Linked DNA regions of Callithrix jacchus. The protein of the gene in region 1 interacts with the protein of each later gene in a pairwise test. Links are inferred from orthologs where the notes say so. Each region holds a gene or a part of one and is shown in the gene's direction. Other genes may lie near its edges. The genes, in order: MID2, CCDC42 and UNC45A.

Region 1 (10,525 bases):
GCCTTTTGAGGAACTGTTGAACTGTTTCCTAGAAGCAGCTGCACCATTTTTTATTTCCAACTGCAATGTATGAGGATTCTAACTTCTCCAAATCCTGGCTGACACGTGCTGTTTTCCAGTTTTTGTTTGTTTTGTTTTATTATATTATAGCCACCTTAGTGTGAAGTAGTATCTCAATGTAGTTTTGATCTGCATTTTCCTACTGGCTAATTATGTTGAGCACCTTTTCATGTGATTATTGGCCATTTGTATAACATCTTAGGAAAAATATCTACTGAAATCCTTTGCCCACTTTTAAATTGAGTTACTTGCCTTTTTTATTGTTGAGTTGTAGGAGTACATTTCTAGAGACTAGACCCATATCAGATATATTAATATTATTTGCAGATATTTTCTCCTAGTCTGTGGGTTGTCTTTTTACTTCATTGATGGTGCTATTTGTAGCATTCAAGTTTTAAATTTTAATAAAGTACCATTTATGCATATTTTCTTGGTTGCTTATGCTGTTGGTGTCATCTGAGAAACTGTTCCTGCCTAACCTAAGTTCACAAAGATTTATGCCTATCTTTCCTTCCAAGAGTTTTATAGTTTCAGCTCTTACATTTAGGTCATTCATCTCTTATGAGTTAATTTTTGTATATGATATGAGGAAGGACTCCAGCTTCATCCTTTTGCATGTGGATATCCAGTTGTCCAAGCAACATTTGTTGAAAAGAGTATTCTCTTTCCATCAAATGGTCTTTGAACCTTTGTTGAAAATCGGTTTACCATAGAGATATATATGGATTTATTTCTGAAGTTTTATCCTAAGTTTGGCTCTTAGTTTTGCTACTTAGAAACAAGTGTGACCTTGGACAAATTACTTTTCTTTTCTTTTTTTTGTGACGAGTCTCACTCTGTTGCCAGGCTGGAGTGCGGTGGTGTGATCTTGGCTCACTGCAACCTCCGCCTCCTGGGTTCAAGTGATTCCCCTGCCTCAACCTTTCCAATAGCTGGGACTACAGGCGCGCGCCACCACACCAAGCTAATTTTTTGTATTTTAGTAGAGACGAGGTTTCACCATGTTGGCCAGGATGGTCTTGATCTCTTTACTTCATGATCCACCCACCTCAGCCTCCCAAAGTGGTGTGATTACAGGTGTGAGCCATCACGCCCGGCCTACTTTTTTTTTTTTTTTAAAAAATGATAGTACCTACCTTTTAGAGAGTTGTTGTGAAAAGTAAATGAGATAGTGCACATAAAGAGTATTGTAAAGATGCTTAGATAATAAGAAAGGTAGGAAAAATGGGGGGTAATTGAAAAGATTCTGAAATATTAGGAGTACCCAGAAAAAGAACACCTCATAAATTAGAGATGATTGAACACGTTTGAAGAAATTCATAAAAGTATTCAGTTCCTGAAAATTGTCCAAAACAATTACTATATGACAATTAAAAATCAAACAGATTGGAAACAGTATAGAAAAGTTCTAATAAGCAACAGAGAGTAACTATCTTGTAATATTCTTTATAGAGCTGAAATCAATTAAGGTAGGTTATTTTAGAGTACTAATGATTGGCTTTTTTTCTGTCAAAGATCCTTGAGAATCTTTTGAAAGCTATGGGCAACTTTTTCCCCAGAAAAAAAAAATGCATATATGACATACAAACCACATTCTGCAAACAGTTCTAGGAAGTTCAGAAGTCCCTGGTTAATAAATCCTATTTTGATCTTACCTAAGGCAATCCTGACCCATAGCCTGCTTTCCCAGGCTTAATTTCAGAGTGAGGTTCAAGTGTCACACTGATTTGGAAACAAATTTTAGAGTTCCAGGCAAAATTTAAGAGCTTTTACTCTGTACAGGACAATTTATATGGCACCCTCTTAAACCTTAGGAAAGCTTTGGTACTCTAATTGTTCTATATGGGTTTCAACACACACAGGAATGGCTTTCAGCAGTACTTCTGACCAAGCCAGGTAGCTTCCAACACAGACATTGAGGAATGTAGGCATACAGTTCTAGAAGAGATAGTAATAAAAGTGCAGTGTGAGGTGGAGATGGGCCTAGAAGACTGAGATACAATTCTGGAAGGGACTTAGAATGAAATAGGCGGATTCAGAGAAAGTCAGAGAGACTGGGGGAGATAAAAATAGAAGTGGAAACATGCTGTTTAGAAATCCTCTTGTAAATAGTCAAGATAAACCTCAGTTAAGGAGGTGAGTTGATTGAAATAAAGGTGTAGGGAAAAGAGCACAGGCATTGGCGTTATACTGACCTGTGCTCTGGGTCTGTATGTTCTTGGTTGACTTATTTAATGACCCTAAGTCCCAGTTTCCTAACTGTAAGGTGGATACAGTAAGAGTAACTTCCTCCTAAGTTTCCTGAAAGAATTAGTGAAATAATGTGTAAAGTGTTTAACATAGTACTCAGAATACAGGAGGTGCTCAATGAATGCTAGGTCCCTTCTTACTCCTAGTTTGATACTTCATTAACTATTAATGAATATAGTTTGTGTGAAGCACAAACTTGTGCTGTGAATGAAAATATAAAATAGTTGATACCCTTAAGGAGAAGGAAGAGTTAGCCGGAGATACAGCTATAAAAGTGAAATAAAACAGAATGTTCCGGAAGCCACCAGTGGTTGAGGTGATAAAAACGTGTAGATGAGAGACCTCTTAGATTTCTAGGCTTGGATGATGATATTCACCAGATAGGGAAAATCAGAAGAGGAGCAGGAGTCTTTTGTTTGTTTTGTCTTCTGGAGGTGAGGGGGAGCACAGCAAGTTCATTTATAGTCATGTTGAATTTGAGTATCTGAGGAATATATCAAATGGAGCTATCTAAGGCAATATTCCTGCTGTCAGTGGAAGTTGGAATCTTCATTTCTCAAGTCTCTTCCAATACTAAGATTCAGTGATGTGTGTACATTTTAGTTGTTGACTTTTTCCCCTATATAGGTGAATGTTGATAGATGTTATAAGCTACAAAATACTGACCAACAACTTTCAAGCACCTGTTAATTCTAGAAGAAAAATACTATGTTATCACTTTTTAAAAAAAGTGATTGTATAAACATCTGAACCTGCTAAACCAACTGAGAGAGTGATTTACAAAAAGATTCTTCACTTTTATAGCCCCATTTTATATAAATTTTCATTAAATAGGTAGTTGAGTGCATTTAAAAGGTTTGATTTAGAAACAGCTTTTAGGTATATATATATATATAGTACTTGGGCATAAAATATAATTGTACTCAGTATTTATGTATCCTGGGAAGTCTGCAGATATCACTAAAAATTACAATATCTGAACAAATATCAATGGCAGAGTGAAATTTTGAAGCCCTGATGAGAGTCTCCAGTGATGACAAGATGATTAACAAAAAATACTCAAAAGCAAAAATTACTTTTCTTGGGCTCTATGCCATGGCTTTCTCCTGTAATCCCAGCACTTTGTGAGGCTGAGGTGGGTGGATCACTTGAACCCAGGAGTTCAAGACCAGCTTGGGCTACATGGCAAAACCATGTCTCTACAAAATAAATAAATAAATAAAAATTAGCTGGACTTGGTGGCATGCTCCTGGAGTTGCAGGAGGATTGCTTGAGCCCAGGAGGTGAATGTTGCAGTTAGCCAAGATTGTACCACTGCACTCCACCATGAGCAACAGAGGGATACCTTGTCCAAAAAAAAAAAAAAGAAAAGAAAAGAAAAAGAAAAAGAAAAAGCAGGAAAGATACGCTTTTTCTTTCCTATACATAGGATTAACGTTTTCAGTCAATAAGATATGTTTTATGTTTTTCCTTAGTTAAGGCCAATTTAGAATATTTATCTGTGTGTATTTTAATTAATGGAAGACCCAAGGCAATTAAGAATTAAGTACCTGTGTGTTCAGCACAGAAATGCCTGCAGGAGAATAGATAAATTTACCAACAGGTTGGTTTCTTGTCAGTTGGGTGACTTCTTTTACTCACTGATGCACACTAAATTGAGGATTATGAGATCTGAAAATTTCTGGCACTTTGCTATTTCTATCTAGATCTTGATTTGCATCCTGCTATGTTTTAGAAAGTATGAAAATACACATGGGCGATCAGCTTCATAGCAGGCTTGTGCTAGTTCAGCAAGTGTTTAGTAATAAAACCAAACTGAAGACACAAGGCAATATGACTTTATCATTGATCAGCAACTATTGCTGAGTAAGTTGAAAAGTCTGAAATCATTCCTTGTTCAGCTCGATGAAATGAAGGGGTTTCTGAAGGTGAGAGAAGAAGACGACAGTGAAAAGTATCATCTTTTGTCTTGAGTAACTCAGTTTACTAGGAATGGAATGGAACAGAAATTTCCATGTGTGATAATAAAAAGTAATTGAAGTTCACACTCTGAGGAAAAACTTATCCAGTACCAAAATCTTCATTTTCCTAAAGCTCTCTCTTTTTAATGCAGGCTCTCAAAATGGAATCAATTCAGAAAGTAGAGAGTTACTTTAAAATGTGGCATTGTTTTCCTTACACTGGATGTGACATAGAAGCAGCCCCTACAGTTTACCTTGAAGTGAAATAGAGACCAATATTGGAGAATAGAGATTGGGAATTTTGCAGGGCCTCAGCGTCATTTTAGTCTGGGAAAGAGATGTCAGTGGAGAATATATGAGAGAATGATCCATGCCAATATTGTGAGCTGGAATGGTAATGCTAATCAGTCTGACAGGATTCAGAGGTGACCATTTAATTTTACCTATTAGTGCATGAAAATAAACACAGGCATTTGTGTAAAACAAGGTTTGAAGGGGAAAAAGTCTTCCTGATTAATTCCCAAATTGCTTTCCTATTGCTTAAGCATCCCTGGGGAATCCAGCATGTAAACGCTCCCATTGGTTAGTGCATAATTATGTTATATCCATTTTCCTTTGGAAATGCGTAATGACTCTTGCTTTGTATTCCTTGCAGGTGAAAGCCCAGCCTCTGTGGTTCTTAATGCCTCAGGAGGATTATTTTCACTAAAGATGGAAACACTGGAGTCTGAATTGACCTGTCCAATCTGCCTAGAGTTGTTTGAAGACCCCCTTCTGCTCCCTTGTGCTCATAGCCTCTGCTTCAGCTGTGCCCATCGCATCTTGGTCTCAAGCTGCAGCTCTGGTGAATCCATTGATCCCATTACTGCTTTTCAGTGTCCTACCTGCAGGTATGTTATCTCGCTGAACCACCGGGGCCTGGATGGCCTCAAGAGGAATGTGACCCTGCAGAATATTATTGATCGCTTCCAGAAGGCTTCAGTCAGTGGGCCCAATTCCCCTAGTGAGAGCCGCCGGGAAAGGACTTACAGGCCCAGCACCGCCATGTCTAGTGAGCGAATTTCTTGCCAATTCTGTGAGCAGGATCCACCAAGGGATGCAGTAAAAACATGCATCACCTGTGAGGTCTCCTACTGTGACCGTTGCCTGCGGGCCACGCACCCCAACAAGAAACCTTTCACCAGCCACCGCCTGGTGGAACCAGTGCCAGACACACATCTCCGAGGGATCACCTGCCTGGACCATGAGAATGAGAAAGTGAACATGTACTGTGTATCTGATGACCAATTGATCTGTGCCTTATGCAAACTGGTGGGTCGTCACCGAGACCATCAGGTCGCATCCCTGAATGATCGATTTGAGAAACTCAAGGTAAGGGATCTGGGGAACAGCCCTTACACAACTTTGTCTCATAATAGAGTTATACAGTTAGTAAGTTCTCTAATAAAATGGGTGACTTTTCCAATATGACAAGTGAGTTAACTTTAAGTTGTTCTCATGAGGATTAACCTGCTCACCTGCAAGCTCTCTCTGGAACCTATCTGATCTGTTGCATAAACATGCTTGCATTCATACCCTTCTGGCTAACTTTTGGGGAGTCAGCTTATGGCCTGCGACACCAGTAGTTCATCCAGGGAAACAGCACTCTCTCTCCTCTGTCAGTGACATATTGCTTATTATATATCTTTGCTATGATCTTTCCACCTCTTTTAAGTATGTGAGTACTTGTGTAGGTGTTCTACAATTAGCATATGTCTCTATTTGCATATGTAGGTATATGGCAATGGGAAGGCAGGGTGTGTCTCTGTGTAGGTGTGGGTGGAGGTGTCTGAGTGTATCTAGGTAGGTGAGAGATTTTTGTGGAGGACAGTAATGTATGTTTATGTTCATGTACTCAATACACTAAAGAAACAAAAGTTTGGCATTGGCCATTACAAATTGCCATTAAGCATTTAACACAGGGCTAATTCTAAGCCTGCCTTTAAAAACAAAACAAAACAAAGAACTGAAGAAACTTCAGTAAACCATGAAATCAGAAGGGATAATTAAATATCTGAACTAAAAATTTAAACTGAAGGCAAATATTTCATCCACTATCAAATTTTGTGACAGTGCTTGCTGTTATGGGCTACAGACTGAAGCATTTGTTTATAGTTCCTACCTTACAAGTTCCTAGTTTTTATATGTGTTCTGTGGACAGAGTTTTCTGAAGTCATTGTGTCACATAATATTTATGTACAAGCCTAAGTGCCCATTTAAAAAAGTCCTCCTGCCTTACACTAATGATCCAGCAAATTGTTTTATTCCCATTGCTTGCCTATTATGTGGTATAATTTCTTTTAAGAAGTGAGCTATTTAGCAGCTATTCTAGAAAAATAAAATGTTTAAATGGATAGTAAAATTGCCACTCCAAATAGAAGCTGAATACATAAGCCAAGCTAGAAGAAAGGCCCAGATTGGATAATTTGTGGTAAAATTTCTTTTAAGAAGCCAGCTACTTAGCAGCTATTCTAGAAAATACAATGGTCTGTGCCTCTTTTGGTTATTATTTATATCAGATCTGTATAGATGTGTACAAAATTCAATTTTTTATTTCACTCAAGGTGATATTCTTATTCTATCAAGGCTGCAGAGGACAACAATCTTGTTGACTTCAATTTTTAGAATCATAAAATGTTAGGCCTTTGACTTGGTCTAGTCAAAGCTCTATACTTTAAAGTTGTATAAACAAATCTTGATAGATTAAGTGATTTGGTCAAAATCAAAGAAATGATTAGTAATGGGAAAGCTAGAACTGGAACTCAGCCTCTAGTCTGAGTTAACTATCCTTTGTACTGTAGCCGGCTGCCACTTTGTTTTGGATCTAAGTTTTCCCCATGAAATGTGATTTGAAACTTAACTTTATGCTTCTGCAACTGTACATTTCATGATCATAGATAAAAGATTAATGACATCAAAGAAGGGACAGATTGTTTAAACTTACAGCCATATAATGGCAAAAGATAGGAGCGGTGCTGTAGGAAGAGTGGGGATGTGAAGAGGACAGAACAGTCTTTGCCAAATATTTGTAGGTGTTGGGAGTATAATAAGTCATTGACCTTGAAAAATGTTCCAAACAGAAAAATCTGTGTCCATATGCACTGTTGAGATAACAAAAAGACTGGCTAGTGTAAGCTTGTATCTACAGAAAACTAGCTATTTGAAAACATCCGAAAACATGAAAACATTGGATGATTGATTAGATATTTGGCATCATGAAGCTACAGCCCTCATCTCCAGGGATGGATGGAACATGGACATATTTTACCAAAACATACTTTAGTCTGTGACTAATCAGTAATTTTTGGAGAAAGAAAGCCAGATTTTGAATAGTCCCCCTTTAATATTTTAGGAAATGTGCAGAAAATTCTGATTATAAATTAAGTGGAAACTATTTTTGTTCATTTTTGGATGGAGAGTGGAAACATATGAATCATTCCCAACCTTGTGGTTCGTTATGTTGTCTGGAACATCTTGGAGTTTTGGGAGGGTGAGAGAGGTACTGCTTGTGTGTGCGTGTTGGCGGGGGTGGAGGGGTCACTTTGGTTTGGTGCCAAATATAAAAGGGTATTAATTCTCCATGTTAAGCAGAGAGGAACTCTGGCTTTTAGTGTCACATATACTCACTTCTTTAGGTTAATTTTAAATTGGAAGACCATTTAGGATTACCCCTTTAATCTGCCTGATTCTTCCCCAAAGGAGAAAGTTGGCCAGCAGGAGCTATGCGAGAGACTGCCTGAGTATATTCCCCTAGTCCTGGCCCTGAGAGAAGCACAGGAGTCTTGTAGGAGGTAGCACCCATACTATCACTATTTCCTTGTATCTAGGAGGTTGGCTTTCTAGCCAGTAGCTGATACAGTGTTTATTTTTACTTTTTGGTTCTCGAACTTCACTGTTGACATTTGTAACTACTTTTTATATACAAACCTCCCTGATTAGGATTAGTGGCTTCTAATATTTATTTGTTCAATAAAGAATAAGCAAACCATTATGTTGTAGATGAAAGGTCAGAATAAACAGAAACTAGCCTGTCTTTTTAACATGTACTCAAAATGGATTAGAGGGCTTGGGGTACTTAGTATAGTTTCATGATCTCATTCAGTTGTCTAATCTACCAATAGGATTGAGATGCAGGACACTTGTCTTTCAGCAGGCTATCAGTAGTTCAATTAATAATTCAATTTCAAGGAATATTTTTATTCATTACAGTTATTGGAGTAGTAAGGCCTATCTGAGTAATTATTTTCTCCATCACCTCTCACTTTTCACACACGAGTCCCAATATATATCTTAGTTTATGATATATGGGACCTTTCTATAAAACAGCTTCACATTTTAGAATTTTCATTATCACATGAGTTTCTATCCTTATAAAAGATTGTTGTTATTGTTTTAATAAATTTTGGCTTCATAAAAAGAGGTCAAATTTCGGTGACTATTGCTGATATACTTCAGTATTCTAAGTTCTGTACAACTTCTTTCTTGTGCTGTCCATGTATTTTCCCCTCTAGTCCTCTCAAATGTGTTACCTTCATCTACCCAGGTGAGCCTCTTAATCGTCTGCAAAACATACCATTTTCTTTTCTGGATTCTTAACTCTTATTAGTGTTCTTCTCTTGGCCTGTTTACAAATCCTACCTATTCTTTTCTTTTCTTTTTTTTTTTTTTTTGAGATGGAGTTTCGCTGTTGTGGCCCTGGCTCAGCCTGAACCTTAGCCTCCTGGGTTCAAGTGATTCTTCTGCCTCAGCCTTCTGTAGCTGGGATTACAGGCATGCACCACCACGCTTAGCTAATTTTGTGTTTTTAGTTGAGACGGGGTTTCTCCATGTTTGTCAGGCTGCTGGTCTGAACTCCTGACCTCAGGTGATCCACCTGCCTCGGCCTCCCAAAGTGCTGGGATTACAGGCATGAGCAACCGCACCTGGCACAAATCTACCTATTCTTTAATGCATAATTCAAACCCCATAAGACCACCCCAATACATCGCAGCTACATCTTCATCTCCTTCAAGTCAGAAATAATGCCTTTTATTTCTTTGATATTCTCCTTAGTGTCTTGTACACATAGTATTTGCTCAAGAAATCTAAATGAATTCAGTTTTCATAATGGATTTGCAGGAAATATACCAATATCTATAGCTTGCTTTAAATCTCATCTTAGAAGATATAAATCTGTCTTGCCATAATGTATACCCTGAAAGTCTGAAAAAAGATCTCCCGTGAACTACTGACAATATTCAACACCAGACTGCTAGTAAAAGTAAGGCATGCCGTTAATTTTAAGTGCCTATTCATTTTGATCACTGGATTTTCCAACTGCCTAACCCTATGGTGACATCTGTATAAATCACATGTGATTATATTAATTCTCTTTGAGAGTGATGTCTTCACATTTCCATGCCCACAGACTGCCAAAAATATAGCTGATGAAAACCAGGGGGAATAGAGGAATTTCCTGAAAGGAATAAATAAGCACATTTTCTTCTTCTCATTATATTTCCACAAATTCATTACTACAAATAATTCTTAAATGCAGTTACATTTACATACCAGGGATCTTGTTATGAAATGTTACCCGGCACTGGGCACTGGGCACTGGAGTAAGCCTTTTATCATGGGAAAGTTAAAACACACACACACACACACACACACACACACACACACACACACGCGCGAAGCAAGACTGGAAAAGAGAAAGCTAAAGGTTGCCAGACAAAGAGAAGGGACATATGAGACTTGGAGGATGTTCAAAGGAAAGCCACAATGAGAGTTAAACGGTTGGAAAATACAATATTCTAGAATCTTATCACAGTTGATTACTTGTCCTTCTTCCTACTCAGTCACTCTGTCATCCACCCACCCATTCTCACTCAGTCACCACCTTCTCTCAGTCATTTATCTACTTACTCACTTGACACCCACTACTGTCTGCCAAGACAGATACCCTCTCAACCAGTGTACTAATGGGCATATGACTGTTTCTCAACCAGCATAAGTATAAATATGAGAGAAAGAAACCGAAATATAAGAGACTGGGTTGAGTGTATATTTGCATACACATGTATGCATCACTATACATGAGTGTGTATATCCTGCATAAATATGTGGCTGAGAATGACTCTGTGCCTGGGTATGAACGTATATCTATAAAATGTGTGTCATTGTATGTGAAGAGAGAGTGTGTAAATCTTCTGATAAGTTGGGTAGGAGGGGAC
Region 2 (10,525 bases), on another chromosome or scaffold:
GGTTGGGCCCAGCCTTCTGTATACATTCATTCATTCATTCATATTTTATTTTTTATTTTTGGAGACAGTCTTGCTCTGTCACCCAGACTGGAGTACAGTGGCATGATCTCAGCTCACTGCAACCTCTGCCTCCCAGGTCCAAGCCATTCTCCTGCCTCAGCCTCCCGAGTCACAGGGACTACAGGCGAGTGCCACCACCCCTGGCTAATTTTTGTGTTTTTTTGGTGGAGACGGGGTTTCACCATGTTGGCCAGGATGGTCTCCATTTCTTCACCTCTAGATCCACCTGCCTCGGCCTCCCAAAATCTGGGATTACAGGCAGAGCCACCACACCTCTATATTTTTTTAAAAGCTCTGTAGGCAGTTCTGATGAGCAGGTGGATTTGAAAGCCACTGGTTTAGACCCCCTCAGTCCTCTCCTGGGCTTACAGGGCAGCACACAGATCCTCCGTGCACCTTCCTCAGTGGCCTCCAAGTGCCACATTCCATAAGTCCATCCATGTGATATCACAGGAGCCCCTGATGGGAGACAGGAGTCACACAGGGCGAGGGGTGGGCTTGTCCCTAATCTTAGGGGAGGGCTTGGCAGAAAGAATAGGCAGGATTGGATCGATTGCAGTAGCTGATCCTTCTGTCTTCTCACATCGAACTGCCTGTACCATCTCCTCCCTAAGTGGGATGCAAGTCTGAGCTCCTAAGCGCATGCTCTCCCAGTGGCCTTACCACCAGGCCCTAAGGCACCAGGTGCATCTCCTAGCTCATCTTCCTGTAACTCCAGCCCTGTTACCCCAGCTTGTGAAAGGGAGAGGGGCTCCTGCCTCCCTTCTCCACAGCTGGGAAAATGGAGGCACTGCGCACCGAATCGGGAGAAAATTTGCACCTCCCAGCTCTGATCCAGGAGTGGTTCTTCTGCTCCACGGAAAATGGCCACCGGGAAGAACAGAAACAACAGAAGCTTTGTGAGAAGTCTTCCTGCTACCACTTCGGGACTTTCTCAATCTTATCAAGGGGTTCAGTTCTCTCCAGACTCTGAGCCCGATGCAATGCAGGTCTCCCCTAGTCCACTCTCTGAAGTCCAGAGCCCAAGTCCCACAGGAAAGAACCATTTCCTGTTTGCCCTCCCCCCGCCCCCAGGGCCACCTCTTGACCTTGGATGAAACCTCTGTCCTCACAGCCCCCTGAGCCCCACCTCAGTCCACAGAAATCTCCTCAAGCAGCTTCAAATACCCCTAAGAGCCTTTTCCTTCACCCCGCTTCTGCCTCATGGGTGGCCCAGCAGTCTGCCTGTTCCCAGGATGGTTTGAGCACATGGAGGGGTCTGAGGGCACCACCAGCCCCAGGATGGCCTGGGCCCCGGGAGGACCGGGCGAGGCTTCCTGACCAGTGCTGCTTCCCCCGGCCCCAGGAGAACGACCAGAAACGGATCCGAGCCATGAAGAAAGTCAACAAGGAGCGAGAACTCAAGTGTCGGCACTTGCGGGAGCTGACCAGGGGCAAGCAGGAGATGGTGGCGCTGCGGCTGGAGCACCAGCGTCTGAGCGCCAAGCTGCAGGACTACTCCATCTTCAACAAGTACCTAGAGAAAGTGGTGGAGAACTCCGAGGTGAGTCCCAGGAGCCCGGCAGCGGCTGGCCCTGGCAGCTGCCTCAGCCCCACCTCCTGTTTCCTGGGGCTTGGGGCAATGGGGTGGAGCTCAGGCTCAGTTGGCTTCAGACTGTGGACCTTCTGAGCCCCAGGGACTCTGCAGGGATGGGCACCCTACTCTGAGGAGATGCAACCAGTCCTTGGGGGGCAGTCAGGGGCAGCTAAAAGAAGCCTCAAGTGAGGCTGGATGAGTTTCCCAAGGGGTGGGGCCTAGTGGTATGTCTTGAGTCACAACTGTGTATATGTCTTGCATGAGTTGCATGTTTATGTCTACATGTGTATCCTTGGCTGTGTCTGTCTAAAGGGGTGTGTGTGTGTGTGTGTGTGTGTGTGCGTGTGTGTGTGAGCAGGTGGCCTCTCTCTATCCCTGTGTCCCCTCTTCTCAGTGTCTTCTGTTTACTGGAGAGTAAATTGGGAAGGGGAAAGGAGAGGAGCTGGAAAAACACCCAGCCTCCTGGTATTGAAACACCATACAAACTGGGGTGTTTCAGATGTCCTGGGAGTTGGTGCTTCACATGGGTAACTTCATTCAGTTCTCTGGTCAGCCCCAAGGGGAACCCAAGCTGATCATCCTTTTACAGAGAAGAAAATGGAGGCTCTGAGAGGTTAAGTCACTTGCCAAGAGTCTCACAGCTTATCAGTCTCACAGCTCATTTGCTTTTAGCCACTTCTCCGTGGGCCCCACAGTGTAATTGACCGGGGCTCTTCCTGCCATCCCTGTGGCCCAAGCCCAGAGAACTTCTCAGTTCCAGCATGGCTCTTGCAGTGTAATACTGCTGATGCCCCTCCCAGAAACCAGAAACCACCCCCACTGCCCTGAACTCTGTGGCCCTTCTTCTCAGGCTCCTGGCTGGGGCGGAGAAGGGCCTCTTCCCAGGTCCTTCTTATGTGGTGAGTCCAGGTGCTCTGTCCCAGATCCTCTACTTTTCTCCCTGATCAATACCTAGGGCCTTCCATGGATGCCACCCATGTCACACTATCTCCTCCCCCATGTGACCAACAGCCAGAAGAGCCCCCCACCGGGGCAGATAGAGGCACCCCCTCCAGGCACGTGGATCTATGTCCTGGTAGAGGAGGGGCGACAGAATGCCCAGCTGTTTAAATTTCCCACAATTCCCATATCAAACCACTCACCTAGTTTACTCATGCATGAGTCCCACATCTGCGTTATTTCCTCCACTCAAAGCTGCTACGTACTATAAGGTCAGTGGTTCATTTCATGGTTAGAGTTTCTGGGGAAGCGGGCAGGAAGTAAGGAGGGACTACCGTATTAAAACAGCCGATAAATTGCAAGATGTGGCCAGGTGTGCAGTGGCTCACACCTGTAATCCCAGCACTTTAGGACGCCAAGGTGGGTGGATCACATGACGTCAGGAGTTCAATACCAGCCTGGGCAACATGGCAAAACCCCATCTCTACTAAAAATACAAAAATTAGCCTGGCGTAGTGGCAGGTGCCTGCAATCCCAGCTACTCAGGAGGCTGAGGCAGGAGAATTTCTTGAACCCGGGAGGCAGAGGTTGCAGTGAGCCAAGGTCATGCCGTTGCACTCCAGCCTGGGGGACGAGAGAAACTCCATCTCAAAACAAAACAAAATATTGTAAGGTGTGTCTTGAGTTCAGAGTTGCTAAAATATGTATCTTAGGATTGAGGACATTGGCCTGTGTCTCGCTTCTAAGCTTAAGACCCCCATATCTAACTCTTCCCCGTGCACACTTGTCTCATCTGCTTCCTGCCACCCCCAGGCCAGCCCTGCTGCTGGTTTGTCCTGTGCTGGCGAATGGCAGGACCACCCACCCACAGCTCCACCAGAACCTGGGCCTCCTTGGCTCCTCCCTCTTGCTCAGTGCCACAGCTATCAATCAGCAGATCTGGTCTGTTCTGCCTTAGAAGTATTTCTGGAATCCAGTCCCGGCCCCTTCCCCATCCAGGCCACCAGTGGTACCTCATCTGGAGTTCCACTCGGCGTCATTCCTGGCCAGCCTGTTTTACATTCCTCCCACTCCGCTCTTTCTTTCTTTTCTTCTTTGTTTATTTTGTTCAAAATACTCTAAGCATACTGGAAAGTATAGAGACACACATAACAGCAACCAAGTACTCATCACATAGCTTTGCTAAATCTTCATCTTTCCCCATCTGCCCCCAGTTCTGCTGTCTTAAACACTACTGACAATTGAAATCCAATAAATGAAATCCTGTGTCCTTCCAAATCTCATGCTTTTTCACCTCTCCTCAGACGCCGAGTATCCTGCTTTTAAAAATTCTCATATCATGCTTGTTTTTATTATTTTATAACATTGAACGTTTTGTAACTTTTTATGAAATTTTTAAGCATATACAGAAGTAAATACAACAGTGTATAGAACACCTGCTGCTCATTATTTGATTCCAGTAATTATCAATTCATAGTCACATCCCCCATACTATCCCACCTCTGCCATTTTGAAGCAAATGGTATGTTTTCAACCATATATGTCTCTCTGCAGTATGTATCTCTAAGAGATGAGAGTTCTTTGTAAAATAACTATAACACCATTGTCACACCTACTATAAAACTGATAGTAATTCCTTAACATAAAATATCAGTATCATTTATTGCACAAAATGGGGCAAGCATGGTGGCTCATGCCTGTAATCCCAGTGCTTTGGGAGGCCAAGGTGGGAGGATCACTTGAGCTCAGGAGTTCAAGACCAGCCTGAGCAAAAAAGTGAGACCCTCCCCGCAACTGTACAAAAAGTTTAAAAATAAAAAGTAGTCAGGCATGGTAGCACCCATATGTGGTCCCAACTACGTGGGAGGCTGAGGCAGGAGGACTGCTTGAGCTCAGGAGGTCAGGTCTTCAGTCACCCATGTTTGTACCGCTGTACTCCAGCCTGGGCAAGAGTGAGATCCTATCTTTTAAGACAAATTATTGCACAGATGCTTTTTGTACAGTTGGTTTGTTCCAATCGTGGTCCACTAAGGTCCTCACACTGCCCTTAGTTGGTATGCTTCTTAAGCATGACACAAAAGCGGTTATATCGCATGATTCCACTCGTGTTTAAAAACAGGTAAAATTAATCTTTAGTGATAGAAGTCGGAATATTGGTTTCCTCAATGGTGGGGGGAAGATACTCACTAGCAGCCCTTCTTCGTTTATTTGCTAGAACACTACCATTAAAGAAAAGGACTTCATAAGAGAGAACCTTCCCATTTGATGATTGTGTGGGTCTTACAGAGAAAGTCTGTTAAATGCTTTATTTACAGTTTTCAGAATAATGAATTGCACCCACCTGTAATGCTTCTAGTATCCTTGTGAACTTATAGGTTTTTAACATATTTGGTATGTTTTAAACCTTTGCACTTATTCTTACTAATGTTCAAATCATCTCATCTTTGGGCACTGGAGGCTCTTCCATTTGACACCTGAATCATTTTGGCATCAGCATTAAGTTTTAGAGGTGTGTTCCTAGTAGCTCGGATGTAGTCCGTTTATTTGAACTGTGGTACGCTGTTGCACTGTGTGCCAGATGAACTTTCAGAAATGTAGATGTGAACTGTCTCTCTGCTTTTTCTTTTTTGAGATGGAGTCTCACTCTGTCACCCAGGCTAGAGTGCAGTGGCACAATCTCTGCTCACTGCAACCTCCACCTCCTGGGTTCAAGCAATTCTCTGCCTCAGCATCCCGAGTAGCTGGGATACAGGTGCCCACCACCATGCCTGGATAATTTTTGTATTTTTGATAGAGACAGGGTTTTACCATCTTGGCCAGGCTGGTCTTGAACTCCTGACCTCGTGATTCACCTGCCTCAGCCTCCCAAAGTGCTGGTATTACAGGTGGGAGCCACCACGCTCAGCCCTCTCTGCTTCTTAAAATCCTTCAATGGATAAAGTCCACACTCCTTCCCAAGGTTTACTGAACTCTTGCTTGCTTGCTTTCTCTTTCTTTCTTCCTTCTTTTTTCTTTCTTTTTCCTCCTTTCTTTCTTGCCTTCTCTTTTTTTTCTTCTCCTTCTTCTTCCTTCCCTCTTTCTTCCTTCTTTCTTCTTGTCAATCTCTTCCTCCCCATCTTGAACTCAGGCTACCTTGAACATCCTGAACATACCACCCCCTATTCTGTTTATCTTTACCCAGGCTGCCTCCTCCACCTGTAGTACTGCATCACCTCCCCACACTCATTTTGCTGGCTGTCATCTATTCATTCCTCCCGTCTCATTTCAGCTACCCTTTCTCCCAATAAACCTTTTTGGGCTATTTCTACCCCCTCCAGTGCTGAGTTGGGTGGCCCTTCCCCAAAGAGGCATATTTGGGGAAAGGCCAGCAGGGTAGTTCCCAGGACACCCACCTGTCACTGGCGATGTCATGAGATGGAGAAGGTGCTCAGGAAGTTTCCCCTGGGTGGCCGAAAGGCATGCTTTGATAAGCCCCTAGGAAGGCAACTTGGCATCACCGAACTGGTGCTCATGCTCTGCCTTCTAAACAGGGTTGGTTTCAGGGCTTCTCTTCCACTGAGCAGGACCTGAGGATTAGGGCCAGAGTGGTGTGGTTCTGGACCATGCCGGAGGAGGTGAGCTGAATCTGGCAGGCCACCTGCCCCACCAGCACCCTCTCCAGCCCCCGCTTCTCCCTCAGCAAATGAACAAATACCAGAGGTCACCAACTGGAAGGCTCACCCAGATTCCTGTCCAGCCCTGTCCCCCAGTCAAAGATAGGGCTTATCTTGCTGTTGTAACTGTTTACTTGTCTGTCTGTCCTCCCTCCATGCCACCCCTCGGGATATAATCTTCCTAAAATCAGAGTCTGGTTTTCCTATCTCCTGCTATTTCCCTGGCATTTCGCCTCGCTCCTGACTTATAAGTGGTTCTTGGTACAACCTTGTTGAATAGGAAATTCTTGCCTTGGGAGACATATCAAAATGCCCTCCACCAGCAACTATCAACCCTGGCTGTGCCTGGAACCACCTGGGGATCTTTTGCAAAATTCAGGTGTCAGAGACCACAGAAGACTTGTTTATTCATCTGAATTTCTGGGGGTGGAGACTGGCAGGTATCCTTTTTAAAGCCCCTGCAGGTGATTCTAACATGCAGTTAAGATCAGAAATCCCTGGCCCAATTGTACATCCCCCCCAGCCTATCAAATGGACCATGGCCGATACAAACCCAGGAGAGGCAGGCAGCGGGAACCCCAATGTTCCTCACAGCCTCCGGCCATTCCACTGGCCAAGGGCCTGTCTCCCCAGATGTCCAGATGTCCAGGCCTCCAGGCTGGGGTTTGGCAGGACTGGGTGGCTCCATCAGGCCCCTGGGACTGGCTGTGCATTGTCCTGAGCCCCTGTCCGCAGTTCGAGGAGATCCATGAGGTGATCGCGCGCTACAAGACACTGGTGAGCATGCACCACGACCTCATGCAGTCTGCGCAGGAGGGGCAGGAGAAGATTGAGCACGCCAAAGCCCGGCTGGCACACTACATGGAAGAGAAGGATGATGAAATCCTGCAGCAAAACAATGAGCTGGCAAGGCTGCAGATGCGTTTTGACCGTGCCCGCAGCAACGTCATCATCTGGGTGAGGGGGCCCGGGGCGGGTACTGGGTGAGTGAGAGCCCTGAGTACACACACACACACACACACACATTCTGTGCTCATGCCCCGTCCTATCCCCTCCCCAGGAATCTCGCTGGGCGCACATCCAGAACACTGCAGCCAAGAAGACCCTCCTGCTTGGCACCATTAAGATGGCCACGCTGAACCTCTTCCAGATCGTGAGCAAGCAGCTGAAGGAGGCGACTGAGGTGGCGCTGGAGGACACACACAAGCAGCTGGACATGGTAGGAGGATGGAGACAGGCCCTGGAGCCGTTGGGTCTGCTGGGCCAAAGAGGTTACCAATTGGTTGGGTGGAACAATGAAACCAACAGAGCAGCAGAGGAGGGGCTCTCAAATTTTCACAACATCGGAATCACCTGGGAGGGGGAGGAGTCTTACTGGGCCCCACGTCCAGAGTCTCTGACTCAGTGGATCTGAGATGAGAATTTACATTTTCAGCAAGTTCCCAAGTGAAGCTGCTGATTTCGGGTTCCATACTTTGAGAATCTTGCATTAGCACCAAACCCTTTTTGGCTCCAGTATACAAGGGACCCATATTGAATCCATTAGTTGTATAAAACAGCCTTATTAAATTCTAGTGAGATACTGTGACTTGCTGAAGGCCTGAACCTGAGGCCCATCATTTGTTAAAAAGAGAAATTGGAGGCCGAGCCTGGTGGTTCATGCCTGTAATCCCAGAACTCTGGAAGGCCAAGGCGGGCAGATCACCTGAGATTGGGAGTTTGAGACCAGCCTGGCCAACATGGTGAAAGCCCATCTCTACTAAAAATACAAAAATTAGCTGTGCATGGTGGTGCACACCTGAATCCCAGCTACTTGGGAGCCCGAGACAAGAGAATTGTTTGAACCTGGGAGTTGCAGTCAGCCGAGATCACGCCACTGCACTCCAGCCTGGGTGACAGAATAAGACTCCATCTCAAAAAAACAAAAAGAAATTAACCAGACATGGTGGCACAAGCACCTATAATCCCAGCTACTCTAGAGGCTGAGGCAGAAGAATCACTTGAACCCAAGAAGCAGAGGCTGCGATGAACCGAGAAAAAAAAATTGACTGAGAGGCACTTTCCCTACTTAAAAAAACAAGGGGGGGTAAACTCATGAAATATACACAGCAAGGCAAAAGAAGTTCCCTAAAACAAAAAATCAGCCTACACCTTAAAGCATGTTTGAACAGAATTATGTTACAACCCAAAGGAGGAAACTTGTAAGAAAGTTTGTTCTGAAGGTAGCAATTCTCAGCATTTCGTCTTTACACTCCTAGAGTTTATTGAGGACTCCCAGAGAGCTTTCCTTTATAGGGGTTGTATCTATTGGTAACTACCATAATAGAAATTAAAAGAGAAAATTTAAAAATATTTAATTAATTTATTTTGAATAATAATAAAAAGTATGTCAATAGAAATAGCATTTTTATGAAAAAGGTTTCAGAAGTGTTTTGTGAGAAGAGTGGCATTGTTTGACATACTTGCAGATCGCTTTAATGTCTGGTTTAACAGAGGACAGGCAGGTGCTCATGTCTGCTTCTGCGTTCATTCTGCTGTGACAGTATATGTCATGGAAACTCCACTCTGAGAAATGCCACTGTGGACTCGTGAGAGAATAAGAGCAAAACAGGCAAATAACATTTTTTTATTATTATAAAAAGAGTTTTGGCCTCAAAACCCCTGTCCCCCAGAATAGGATATCAGAGACTCCCAGAAATCCTCAGGCCCAGCTGCGCAAGATGGCTCATGCCTGTAATCCCAGCACTTTGGGAGTAATCCAGCACTGAGGCAGCTGGATCACCTGAGGTCAGGAGTTCAAGACCAGGCTGGCCAACATGGTAAAACCCCATCTCTACTAAAAATGCAAAAATTAGTCAGGCATGGTTGCGGGCACCTGTAATCACAGCTACTGGGGAGGTTGAGGCAGGAGAATCACTTGAACCCGGGACGCAGAGGTTGCAGTGAGCCGAGACCGAGCCACTGTACTCCAGTCTGGGTGACAGAGTGAGACTTCCTCTCAAAAAAAAAAAAAAAAAAAAACTCAGTCCCCCTCCCCTCGGCCACCCAGAGGTCCTCAGGCTCCTGCCCTTAGCTGTTGTGAAGAAAGATGCAGCAGGATGGTGGGGTGCCATGGCTCACGCCTGTAATCCCAGCACTTTGGGAGGCCAAGGCAGCCGGATCACCTGAGGTCAGGAGTTCAAGACCAGGCTGGACAACACGGTAAAACCCCGTCTCTGCTAAATATACAAAAATTAGCCAGGCATGGTGGCAAGTGCCTGTAATCCCAGCTACTCAGGCAGCTGTGGCAGGAGAATCGTTTCAACCCAGGAGGTGAAGGTTGAAGTGAGCTGAGATTGTGCCATTGCACTCCAGCCTGGGCAGCAAGAGCAAAACTCTCAAGATTCAGTGGGAGATGCCGCTCTCCACCCCCTCACTCCCACAAGTGCATCCCCTGCTGAGACCATAGCTTCTAGTCCATCCACTCCAAATTTTGAGTTTCTGAATCCCTCTCAACTTGGATTTACCTCTACAGGAGAACTTCACATTGCCCAAAAGTTATTTGAAAATATCTCACTTCGTTCCCATAGGAGATGAAGCTACTCATGGAAATACACATGACCAAGTAGCCTAAAGATTTAAAATTAAGGACCTGGGAAAGTACAAGTTGAAATCAGAGGTCAAGGACGGAGAGAAATACAGACTGCCCTTGGTTCTTAAGGGCCTTAGACGGGGGCAGTTAATTGCCAGCTTCCTGGCAACCCAAATGAAAAGCCACCAGTAGTTCTTATACCAGAATAAGAAAAGATAAGGTTTCCTCTTCCTGGCAGTTAGCTCTCACAGAAATTTCCTGATGAGCCTTCATTGACATTTTATGATGTCCTCAACAGCATCCCTGCAAGCAATGCAGGCACGGGCTTTGTAAAGCAGCTGCTTATACAGAACAAGGAACGTGGTGCACAGGACAGCTTAGGAAAAGTGATTCTGCAGAAGGCCAGGGCAATTTGAATTCCATAGAGTGTGTCATGGAAGGTTTGGCATTATCCCTGAAGAAAAGCCAAACTATCTGAACAAGCACTTTCCAAACTGAATCCTGAGATACTGTTTCCTAGGGGGAATAAGCGGACTCCATAGACTAATAGATTTAGAAAACTTGAAATTAAACGAAGATAAGATTTTAAAAAACAAACAGGACTTGGAGTCTTTGCTATGCCCTGAGATGCTCCCAGCAGACAGTGTTTCTAAAACTGACTTGACCACAGAACTCCTTTGAGGCATGTGACCATTTAATATGAGAACATAGCTGAAGAAATGCTGA
Region 3 (10,625 bases), on another chromosome or scaffold:
TGTGTCTCACGTGATTATGTATGCCCTATCACTAAGCCTATAGATGATAACCTCACTTACTACCCTTCCCCCTGCCTGTACCTAATGAATAGATGCTTCTGCATGTTCGGGGCCTTGCCTGTCTCCCCTCAGGTGGCGTGGCCCCCCCAAGTCCAGATGCCCTTCACCAGTTCTTCAGTGTCCTGTCTATTTCTTGGATCCTGCACTTCAGCACAGCATAAGGGACACCCCACAACCCTGTGGGGCCAACAGCCCTACAAGCACCTATGTGTCAGGCTCCATCAGGCACCTCACAGTCTAACCTGATAATTACACAACCCATCTCACTGATAAGGAAGCTAGGCTCGGAGGGGCTAAACCCCCAACCTGAGGGAGGTGATGCAGGGACACACAATTAGAACCCTGCTTTGCTGAAGGACAGGTATGCAGCCTACCAGTCCCCAACCCAGGAGGCTGGAGAAGGAACAGCAGCAATTTACACCTTTACCCATAGTTCTTTTTATTGACCATAATGACTTAGGAACTAGTACTTACATAATCTCAAGTCCCTGAGGGAACAGAGATCCCACCATGCAAAATAGCAAACAGACCCAAGACTTGGGGAGAGGCAGCGAGTGCATCAGAAATGGATGGGTACATCTTATTCCCACACTCAGGGGGCTCAGCTTAGTTAGCAGGAGACCTTCAGATTGAGAAAAAATGCAAGTCTTTTTTTGGCCTCTGGTATCTGGGAAGGATGGAGGGAGCACAGGAGGCACAGAAAAGGTGCGTGAATCCTGTCCGGCCTGGACGAGGCTGGAGTTGTGCTGCTGAAGAGCTCCAAGCACTGCTCAGAGTGTCAGTCCCCGCTGCTGGAACAGACGTTTTAGAGCCTCTTCCAGTTGCTGGTTTGTTCCCTGAAGCCCCTTCACCACCTGCGCTGCCCACTCAAAGTATTCCTGGACTCGCTGTTCTGACCATCCTGCATAAGAATCGGCAGAAACCTGCTAGCCTGATGTCAAAGACAGCACTGCCTTTTGCCTGCTTCCTGGCAAGCTTGGTTCAAGGCCATGAGTTCCTGATGGGATGAGCTGTCCCAAAAACTTGCCTGTGGCTCAGCTATTGTATTTTGACCATAGGAAGGCAGATCAAGAGTGGTATAGTAGAATTAATTTGGGAATTAAGAATGCCCAGAGTTTTTCAGGGGAACTGACCAACCTGTGCCTTCAGAAGGTGGCATCCCCCTCCCCTTTCCCTTAGAACCCATAGGAAAGCGTACCCTCTGGGGTGCAGCGATTCAGGTCCCTCAGATTGTGCAGCTTGTCTGCCAGCTTCACCAGTTTGGCCCCGGGGCTGCTGTGGGGCGCCTGCTCCACCTGCAGCCGCTTTCTCTCCAGCTTGGGCAGAGTCTTGTCATCTGTTACCTCCTCCACCAGGCACCGCACCTGTGCCCCAAAGTGTAGCTCCACCTCATCCAGAGTGGTGTCTGTGTCCTCCACCGTGTCATGGAGCAGGGCTGCCTGGGGACAAGTTCCCATTCAGCCCTGAGATGCTAGCCAAGGGATGCCCATTGCTGAATGGGGCCCCCGATCCCTATCCCAGACTCCTGGCAGAGAAGTGGGGAAGTTACCTGTAACACTGCAATGTCAGTGATTCCCGCCTCGTGGGTCAGGATCCGAGCCACACCTGACGGGGAGGGGCAAAGCAGGAAGTCAGCTCCGGGGGAGCTCCAGGGCTGTGTGTTGTGGGTTTCGGAGAGCCAGATGTGGCCCCTTGTGGCCTCTCACTAGCTGGGTGACCTTGGTTAAGTTCTTTACCCTCTCGGTGTAGACCGGCAAAGGGAACGATCACGACTACCGCTCCAATTGTTGTGAGGCTTAAATATCGCACTATGCTTGGGACAAAATAGATGCTCAACGAGGTGGACGCCCCCCACGTCTCCTTCCCAGTCCCCGCCCCCCAGGCGCCGCAGCCGGTGCCCCGCGGCCGAGGTGCCCACCGATGGGGTGGTTGATGTAGGGGGTCCCCTCCGGGTCCTTCCGCCGCTGCTGACGATGCTTGTAAGCTGCGAAGTCGGCAGCCTCCAGCAGCTGCGCCGCCTCGGAGCTCATCGCGCGGATGCGGCGGGAGACTGCAGCCGCGGGGAACCTCCACGGAGTATTTACAGCGCCCTCTGGCGCCAGGGAGGCCCGGGGGGGATCATGGAGGCGAATTCAGCGGCCTGAGTTGGACCTGGCCCAGGTGGATTCCTTCGGAGCTGACATGCCCCGTGCAGAGAGCAAGCGATGTGCGAAGCTGCCTTCAGCATCGCGGCCCCTAGCTCAGTGTGCTCTGTTGGGGGTGCAAGAAGAACATAAGCCTGGCTCTCTGGGAGCCTACAGTCTGTGGAAAAGAGTAAGACAGACAAGAAATAAGGCAGTGGCCTCACCGTGCACTGAATCCAGGGTGGGAAGGCTCAGGTGACTACGGGAATGGGAAGAAAGGTCAATCCAGCTAGCCTCAGAGCCAGAGGCAGCTTCTCCCAGAAGCCCCCTCCATGAACAGACAATCTTCAACCTGTCAAAGCTCTGAAAACGCTTTAAGTGTTCTAAAAATAGTTCTCCCTGCAGTGACGGGCCAGGTTCTCTCGGCAGGGGAGCCTCACCTTTGGACCTAGGAGATCCTAGGGCCTGACCTGAAAAATCAGAGCCTTCTCTGGGATCCCTGCCTAATTCCTTCAGACTTGGGCTCCCAGGTAGCCATGACATTTCTGCAGAAACTGCCTTTGTCCTCAGTGTTGCTTATGAAATTTGCATTGCCTTCTTGTGCCATGAGTGCTCCTATTTCAGTCTCGAGGCACCTTCTGTAGGCCCCTGTGGTTATGAGTGTTATCAGTGCTGTTCTGGGAGCACGATGTTGTCAGGCCTGGGTAGACACTGGAATGACACTTAATTCTGCTGGCTGGTAGCCTTGGGCCTTCTGGAAAAATTCCCTGCCTCAGCAGCTATGAGGTATGAGGGGTAAGAGAGGCCTGATGATTCTCATAGAACTGCTCTGTGAGAAGGGGTTTGCTATTAGTTAAGTATACGCTAATCAGACAGGAAGCTTTTGTGTTCTGGCTGGTAGCCGGGGCAGATGCAGCTCAGGGGAAAAGCTAATGAAAGGACTCACCCTCGGTTTTCAGCTAGTCTTGGTGGTTGCCATGTCGCAGAGGTTAGGGAGGGGAGTGCCACATGCTGGAACTGAGGTCTCTGGGACCTGAAATAGAAGAGTCAGAATTCCCAGAGCTTCCATGGCAGCCTGGAAGTTGGAGAACGGGTAGAAACATATTTGGCTCTAAATGCCTGTTTGTTCTTCACGCTAACAACTCAGCTGCTCGCTCATCCCTCATTCTGGCTTCTAGTTCTTTGAGCCTTTCCTCCTTCAGCAGTTTGGCAATGCGGGTCCCATGTTTTCCAGCAGGAGATAGAAACCTAGTCCCTGCCATCTCTCTCTAGAAGCCTGTGATAGAGAAGCTTCAGGCTTGTATTCATGGTGCCCGAGGGCCTTGGGGCTTTGATTTTTATTTCCTTGTTGTCTGCATTCATGGCCTAGAAAGAGAGATGTTAGAGTTCCCAGGACCTGGACAGAGGTGGTGGTGAACTCTCCTGGGCATCCAGAGAAGGCCAGGCCCCTTGCTGACAGGTCTGTCCATGGGGCTACTGCTGCTCCTTGGCTGGGCCACCCTTGCCAGCCAACTTCTCTTTCAGGTACAGCACTTCCTCCTGTGACCCACTTTCCTCTTGTGCTATGGACGACTCCTGGGGACTGGAACTGAAGGTGATGGGTAGAAGGGTGTCTGATCTTCTGGTAAGGGCTGATGTCTTTTACCGTCCAGAAGGCATGGAGTGGGCTGTGGCAAGACCCCTCCTGCTTGTTTCCAGCCCCCCACCTTTCTCTTCAGCTCTGTCCACCATCCACAATTGTGCCAGACCACCTGGGATGCCGACGGCCACCACTACCCCGGTTTCCCTTGCCCTCTTCTCTGATTCTCCAGAGGAAGCCTACTGCTGCCACCTGAAGGCTGAATTTGAGGTCCTGTACCAAGTCAACTTGTCCGTTCTTCCGCCCCCACCCATCCATCCTTAGGTGAGATCTCCAGCCCCGGAGCCCCTGGAACATCGACAAGGTGTCTCAGTATCTGGGGTTCTGTTCTTAAACTATGGGGTGGGAGGCTTGTAAATTAGAGTTGTGAAGGGACAGACCGCAGCAGAAAATCATGTAGATCATGATCACGATTACAAAGGCGGCTGTAATCGTAATCACGATCAGGGGGCTGTGCAAGCGGGTAATGGGGAGCCATCCTGAATCTACCCATGGGTGGCTTCAGTGTGTGTCTCTAAATTCGTACGCAAATGTGTGCATGTCAGACTACGCTTATTTGGGGAGGGGGTTCCGAGCGTTCTCCGGACTCCCAGGGGTTCTCTACCCCCACAGAACGCAGCAGCGAGAGCGCGGCCAGGGCTGGGATCCTGAGACTTTTCTCTCTCCCGCAGGGGCCGGGGCCCGCTCCTAGCGCTAGGCGTCTACACTCTGCTGCTTGTGACCCTGATGGCCGCAGACCTCGTGCACTTCTGCTGTGGTCGGGGCCGGGGTCGGGGCTAGAACCACTGCAGGCCTCCCTTTGGGTCCTCTGCCGAGAGCTCCCTGCAGGTCTCCGCTGGGACAGCTTAGGGGTGCGCGGAGTTTGCTGGCACCTGTCATCCGGGGCGGAGCGTTCCGCCCCTGCCCGGGCGCGCCCACCCCTTAGCCCCTCCTCTCACTGACCCCGCCTCCGACGCAAGAGTGGGCGGGGCAGCTTCCGGCCGAGTCCCGAGCCCAGACCCGACCCGCCCCAGAGACTGCGCCTGCGCGGGCACTGGACTACCTCTCCGCGATGACTGTGAGTGGTCCAGAGACCCCCGAGCCCTGGCCGGCTACCCCCAGAGTGCGTACCCAACCCCCGCGCCATCACCCCTTCGCAACCGCGCTGACTGTCCCGGCCTCCTCCTCCCCATCCACGAGGCGCCCCTGAATCCCTCCTCTCCTCTCCTCTTAGCTCTTGGGCCCTGCCCCGAGCCCCCTCCGACGTGGCCGCCCCTTTCTCCCTACAGGCCAACTCAGTGGCAGTGGAGCAGCTGCGGAAAGAGGGCAACGAGCTGTTCAAATGTGGAGACTACGAGGGCGCCCTGGCGGCCTACACTCAGGCCCTGGGTCTGGACGCGACGCCCCAGGACCAGGCCATTCTGCACCGGAACCGGGCCGCCTGCCACCTCAAGCTGGTGAGGGAGCCGGGTGCCCTTCCCCTCCAACTTCCCCACCCTCCCGGGACCCGGTTTGGGCATCTGAGCTGTTGCTTGGGCCCCAGCTGGACATTCACGCTTCCAGGCCACCCCGCTTGCTAGATGTGGAATGCACCTCAGGGTCGTGGGGGATTGGGTGACCTTGGAGAATGAGAGTACCCCACTGCCCGGTTAGTACCCCCTAGAGGGAGGTGACCATTCATTCGGCTCCTATCTCCCCCCCTCCCCACTCGGCTTCTGTCTTTCTCTTACAGGAAGATTACGACAAAGCAGAAACAGAGGCGTCCAAAGGTAGGGAATGGTGGGCCCTCGAGTAGCACTATAGGGCTTCTGGAGGTTGAGGATTGTGGGACCATCACATTCCCCTCCTTTTGCCCCGGAGACACATCTGCCTTCTTTCTTTCCCACTGCCTCGGGCTTTGCCTTTTCTGCAGCTACCCTTACTTTTTCTGAGGCTGAAGCACCGAGCCCCATATTCGTCCCCCACCTTCCTCTGGCTTTTCCTCGAGATCTGTCCCTACTGCTCTTGCCTGACGACGGTGGCCTCATGGGTGCTGACAGCGCTCCTGTTTGTGCTCAGCCATTGAAAAGGATGGTGGGGATGTCAAGGCACTCTACCGGCGGAGCCAAGCCCTAGAGAAGCTGGGCCGCCTAGACCAGGCTGTCCTTGACCTGAAGAGATGTGTGAGCTTGGAACCCAAGAACAAAGTTTTCCAGGAGGCCTTGCGGAACATCGGGGGCCAGATTCAAGAGAAGGTATGTGAGTGACCCAGACAGGTGGAAGCACTGATCAGTGGTGAAGGGATCTGGGCCAGGGGTATAGACAGTTCTCCAGAGAAGAGATACTGATGGCAGGTGAACATAGAGAGTTCTGCTCAACCTTGCCTGTGGCCAGGGAAAAGCAAATTCAGATGACAGCACATTACTGCTGATTTGGTGGTCTGTTTGGCAGATATTTAAAAGAAGGGACACTTTTTTTTTTTTTTTGAGGCGGAGTTTCGCTCTTGTTACCCAGGCTGGAGTGCAATGGTGCGATCTCAGCTCACCGCAACCTCCGCCTCCTGGGTTCAGGCAATTCTTCTGCCTCAGCCTCCCAAGTAGCTGGGATTACAGGCACACACCACCATGCCCAGCTAATTTTTGTATTTTTAGTAGAGACGGGGTTTCACCTTGTTGACCAGGAAGGTCTCGATCTCTTGACCTCGTGATCCACCCGCCTCGGCCTCCCAAAGTGCTGGGATTATAGGCATGAGCCACCGCGCCTGGCCTGAAAGGACACTTTTTGAGGGGAGAGGCAGACATGTCAACGGTGAGGCCGGGGGCCAAGGGCTCTCTGATGACTGCTGGAGGGGTATAAATTGGTACAGCTCTTTTGGAGAGTACTTTAGCATATCTATTACATTTGAAACGAGTGTATCTTGTGATCCCATATGTTTACTTCTTGCTGTTTCGTTTTTTAAATTTATTTTTATTTTTTTTAAAGACAATGTTGGTCAGGCTGGTCTTGAACTCCTGACCTCAGGTGATCCGCCCGCCTTGGCCTCTGAAGTGCTTGGATTACAGGCGTAAGCCACCACACCTGGCCTACTTCTTGCTGTTTCTCTCAGAGAAACCTTGCCCATGGGTACAAGGAGACATGTGTATGTTTATTTCAGCCCTTTTTGTAGTAAGAAAAGCTTGGAACTTGCCTGAATGCCCAGCCATAGGGAAATGGCTGAATACACTGAGTAATTGAATTGAATTCAATTCAATTGAAGTGGAAAGCTCTGGGACACTTGTTGAATGAACAACACAAAATAGGCAGGGCATGGTGGCTCATGCATATAATCCCAGTGCTTTGGGAGGCCAAGGTGTGATGATCACTTGAGATCAGTAGTTTGAGACCAGCCTGGGCAACATAGTGAGACCCTGTTGTTATAAAAACTTTAGTTAGCTGGGTGTGACATACCCTTATAGTCCCAGCTACTTGTGAGGCTGAGGCAGGAGAATCCCTTGAGCCCTGGATTTTGCAGGTCAGTGAGCTATGATGGTACCACTGCACTCCAGCCTGGCTGAAAGAGTGAGGCGCTGTGTCTTTCCGAGAAGAAAAGAAGAAAAATATATAATAGCACACATAGTATAATATCATTTATGTTAATGATCCCTTACGTAGCAAAACAATGCTATATTTTTTCTGTGGGGACACTGGGTGTGTAAATAAAAAACAATATTTTATTTTTTTAGATTTATTTGTATTTAAGTATTTTGAGGCAGGCTCTCCCTCTGTCACCCAGACTGGAGTGCAACCTCCTCCTCCCAGGCTCAAGTGATCCTCCTATCTCAGCCTTCCAAGTAGCTAGGACAAATGCATGTCACCATGCTCATCTAATTTTTTTTTTTTTTGGAGACGGAGTTTCACTCTTGTTACCCAGACTGGAGTGCAATGGTGCGATCTCGGCTCACTGCAACCTCCGCCTCCTGGGTTCAGGCAATTCTCCTGCCTCAGCCTCCTGAGTAGCTGGGATTACAGGCACGCGCCACCATGCCCAGCTATTTTTTGGATGGTCTTGATCTCTTGACCTCGTGATCCACCTGCCTCGGCCTCCCAAAGTGCTGGGATTACAGGCTTGAGCCACTGCGCACCTCCCTCATCTAATTTTTATATTTTTTGTAGAGACAGGGTTTCACTGTGTTGTCCAGGCTGGTCTCGAACTCCTGGGCTCAAGGGATCTACCCACCTCAGCCTCCCAGTGTGTTGGGATTACAGGCGTGAGCCATGGCACCAGGCCAAATATGTATCTTTGTTTTTTTTTGTTTGTTTTCACAAAAATATTTTAAAAGATGTATGTCAAAATGATATCACTGTGAGCCCTGGGGAAAGGAGTGGGTTTGAGAGGGCTTTCCAAAGGAGACTCTGTCATCTGTTCATATTTTTTTAGTAAAGAGAAATTGTGTAATACATATATTTTTAAATTAGGAGAAAATAATCTAAAGACTATTATGAGCTATAACCAAGCTCAAATTCACCTGATAATTTGATGTTAAAACGCTGACACAGTGGAAGAAGGTAACATGATGGCAGAGACCTCACTGAAACAGTGAAACCCAGAAAAGCAAAGAGTTTTCCTCTCTCAGTGCCAACTCTGATTAGCAGTGGCTGCCCAGAGTCTCCTATGTTGAGAAGAATTAGGAAGCTGATTGCCTGAGCTGAGCAGGGAAATGTGCCGTGTCTGGTTAGTCATGGCTGCCATGGATACAAGAGGGTAAGGGGGTGGTCCACATGCTAGGCTTGTGCCACCGTCGATGCCCAGGACCCTGGGGGTGGGGGAGTAGGCCTAGGATGATCTTGCCCATTCAGATTATTATTATTATTTTTATAAAAAAGAAAAGGTTTTACCATGTTGGCCAGGCTAGTCTCAAACTCCTGGCCTCAAGTGATCCACCTGCCTTGGCCTCCCAAAGTGCTGGGATTACAGGCATGAGCCACTGTGCCCGGCCTATTATTATTATTTTTGAGACAGAGTCTCATCCTGTCACCCAGGCTGGAGTGCGGTGGCAGGATTTCTGCTCACTGCAACCTCCACCTCCCGGGTTCAAGTGATTCTCCTGCTTCAGCCTCCTGAATAGCTGGGATTATAGGCACCCACCACCATGCCCGGCTAATTTTTATATTTTTAGTAGAGATGGGGTTTTGCCATGTTGGCCAGGCTAGTCACAAACTCCTGACCTCAGGTGATCTGCCCACCTTGGCCTCTCAAAGTGCTGGGGTTATAGGTGTGAGCCACCTATAATCTGAAACACCAGGTTTCAGATTATGTTTAAAACAGTCAAAAGGAGAATTCCGGTGCTAACGAAAGTGTTAGCAACTACCTCACAATCTGCAGCCCCCTGGCAGGAGGCGTAAATGCTGAGTTCAGTGTCATGGGCAGCCCATTCATGCTGCCATAACATAGATGGCACCACTGGGAGTGGGTTACCTTGTGGCTGACAGGATACCTCCCCTCCCGAAAGACTCTACCTCCAGCATCGGCACTGTTCCTGCTGCCCAAGCAGGAAATAGCTCAGAAAGCAAAACAGCTGCAGGGAATGTAGGAGGTGCTACCAGGCAAGTCTCTTCCTGCCCAGGGTAGCCAGGTACTAGCTCTGAGTTTCGACATCTTCGCTGGGCTCCCAGAGTGAGGAGCTGGAGACAAATGAACAGGGAATGTAATGTCTCTGGCCCAGAGCCTTGATTTCTTCCATGCTTTGTTGGTTCATAGGTGCGATACATGTCCTCGACGGATGCCAAAGTGGAACAGATGTTTCAGATACTACTGGACCCAGAAGAGAAGGGCACTGAGAAAAAGCAAAAGGTATAGGCCCTGGGCTGAGTCAGTGAGTAAGCTCCTTCTAGAGCCACCCAGCCGTAGCACCTTTCACCCATGCAGGCCCCAGAAGCCCCTGCTGCCCTGCTCTGCCACTCCTCCGACCATGCAGCTGGCTCATGGGGCCTGGAGGGGAGCCCTGAGGGCCTGGGACTTTAGCATGAACCAAAGAAGGAGAACCGGTGTTCACAGAGTGCCTTGTGGGCCAGGCCCTGTGCCAGGAGCTGGGTGTACAAAGGTGACTGAAGCACTGTTCCAGCCCCTCAGTCTCTGCTGGGGACTCGTTGACGCTAATCGTCAATCCTGGGAGAAGGCTCTTCCCTCTATTTACAGAGGAAGAAGCTGAACTTCAAAGAGGTTATTTTTTGGCCAACGTCACTCAACTACGAAGTGGAAGCAGAGAGGTCCAGGACTTGGGGCCCTGCTCACCAGTTCTGTGCCCTATGCCATGTGCAGTGTCAACATTTTCATGTGTTTCCGTTGACATAGGCATCTCAGAACCTGGTGGTGCTGGCCAGGGAGGATGCTGGAGCTGAGAAGATATTCCGGAGCAATGGGGTTCAGCTCCTGCAACGCCTACTGGACACAGGAGAGACTGACCTCATGCTGGCTGCTCTGCGTACACTGGTTGGCATTTGCTCTGAGCATCAGTCACGGGTAGGTAAAGTGGAGAGGCTGGTTACTGCTTCAGTCCCTTTGCCTGTCTGTCCATCCATCCCTCCGTCCACCCTACTACCCATCTGCCTGTCCATCCATCCATCCATCCATCCACTCTTCCATCCACCCTTCCATCCACCTCCTACCGTTTATCTTATTCTAAAAGGGACTTAGGCTTGTCATGGTGCCTCACACCTGTAATCCACTTTGGGAGGCTGAGGCAGGTGGATCACTTGTCAGGAGTTTGAGACCAGCCTGGGCAACATGGAGAAACCCCATCTCTAGTAAAAATACAAAAATGAGCCTGGCATGGTGGCGTGTGCCTATAATCCCAGCTACTCTGGAG

The links.
Region 2: the proteins of MID2 (region 1) and CCDC42 interact in binary tests that used the Homo sapiens proteins (3 or more experiments, as listed by UniProt). The two-hybrid records come from large-scale screens. The link is inferred for Callithrix jacchus from reciprocal best matches to the Homo sapiens genes MID2 and CCDC42.
Region 3: the proteins of MID2 (region 1) and UNC45A interact in binary tests that used the Homo sapiens proteins (3 or more experiments, as listed by UniProt). The two-hybrid records come from large-scale screens. The link is inferred for Callithrix jacchus from reciprocal best matches to the Homo sapiens genes MID2 and UNC45A.

Annotation. Positions count from the first base shown.
Region 1 is NC_133524.1:104,387,120-104,397,644, forward strand, and holds part of MID2 (putative E3 ubiquitin-protein ligase MID2), read left to right. Parts: intron 1-4,926; coding exon 4,927-5,642; intron 5,643-10,525. UniProt on the Homo sapiens protein: E3 ubiquitin ligase that plays a role in microtubule stabilization. Mediates the 'Lys-48'-linked polyubiquitination of LRRK2 to drive its localization to microtubules and its proteasomal degradation in neurons.
Region 2 is NC_133506.1:75,254,699-75,265,223, reverse strand, and holds part of CCDC42 (coiled-coil domain-containing protein 42), read left to right. Parts: intron 1-1,405; coding exon 1,406-1,603; intron 1,604-6,861; coding exon 6,862-7,185; intron 7,186-7,288; coding exon 7,289-7,447; intron 7,448-10,525. UniProt on the Homo sapiens protein: Essential for male fertility. Required for sperm development.
Region 3 is NC_133507.1:19,497,927-19,508,551, reverse strand, and holds the start of UNC45A (protein unc-45 homolog A), read left to right. Parts: upstream 1-4,833; 5' UTR 4,834-4,873; coding exon 4,874-4,924; intron 4,925-5,090; coding exon 5,091-5,258; intron 5,259-5,533; coding exon 5,534-5,570; intron 5,571-5,859; coding exon 5,860-6,035; intron 6,036-9,517; coding exon 9,518-9,610; intron 9,611-10,111; coding exon 10,112-10,279; intron 10,280-10,625. Other genes in the region: HDDC3 (guanosine-3',5'-bis(diphosphate) 3'-pyrophosphohydrolase MESH1), read right to left, coding at 831-961, 1,259-1,499, 1,610-1,665, 1,979-2,090.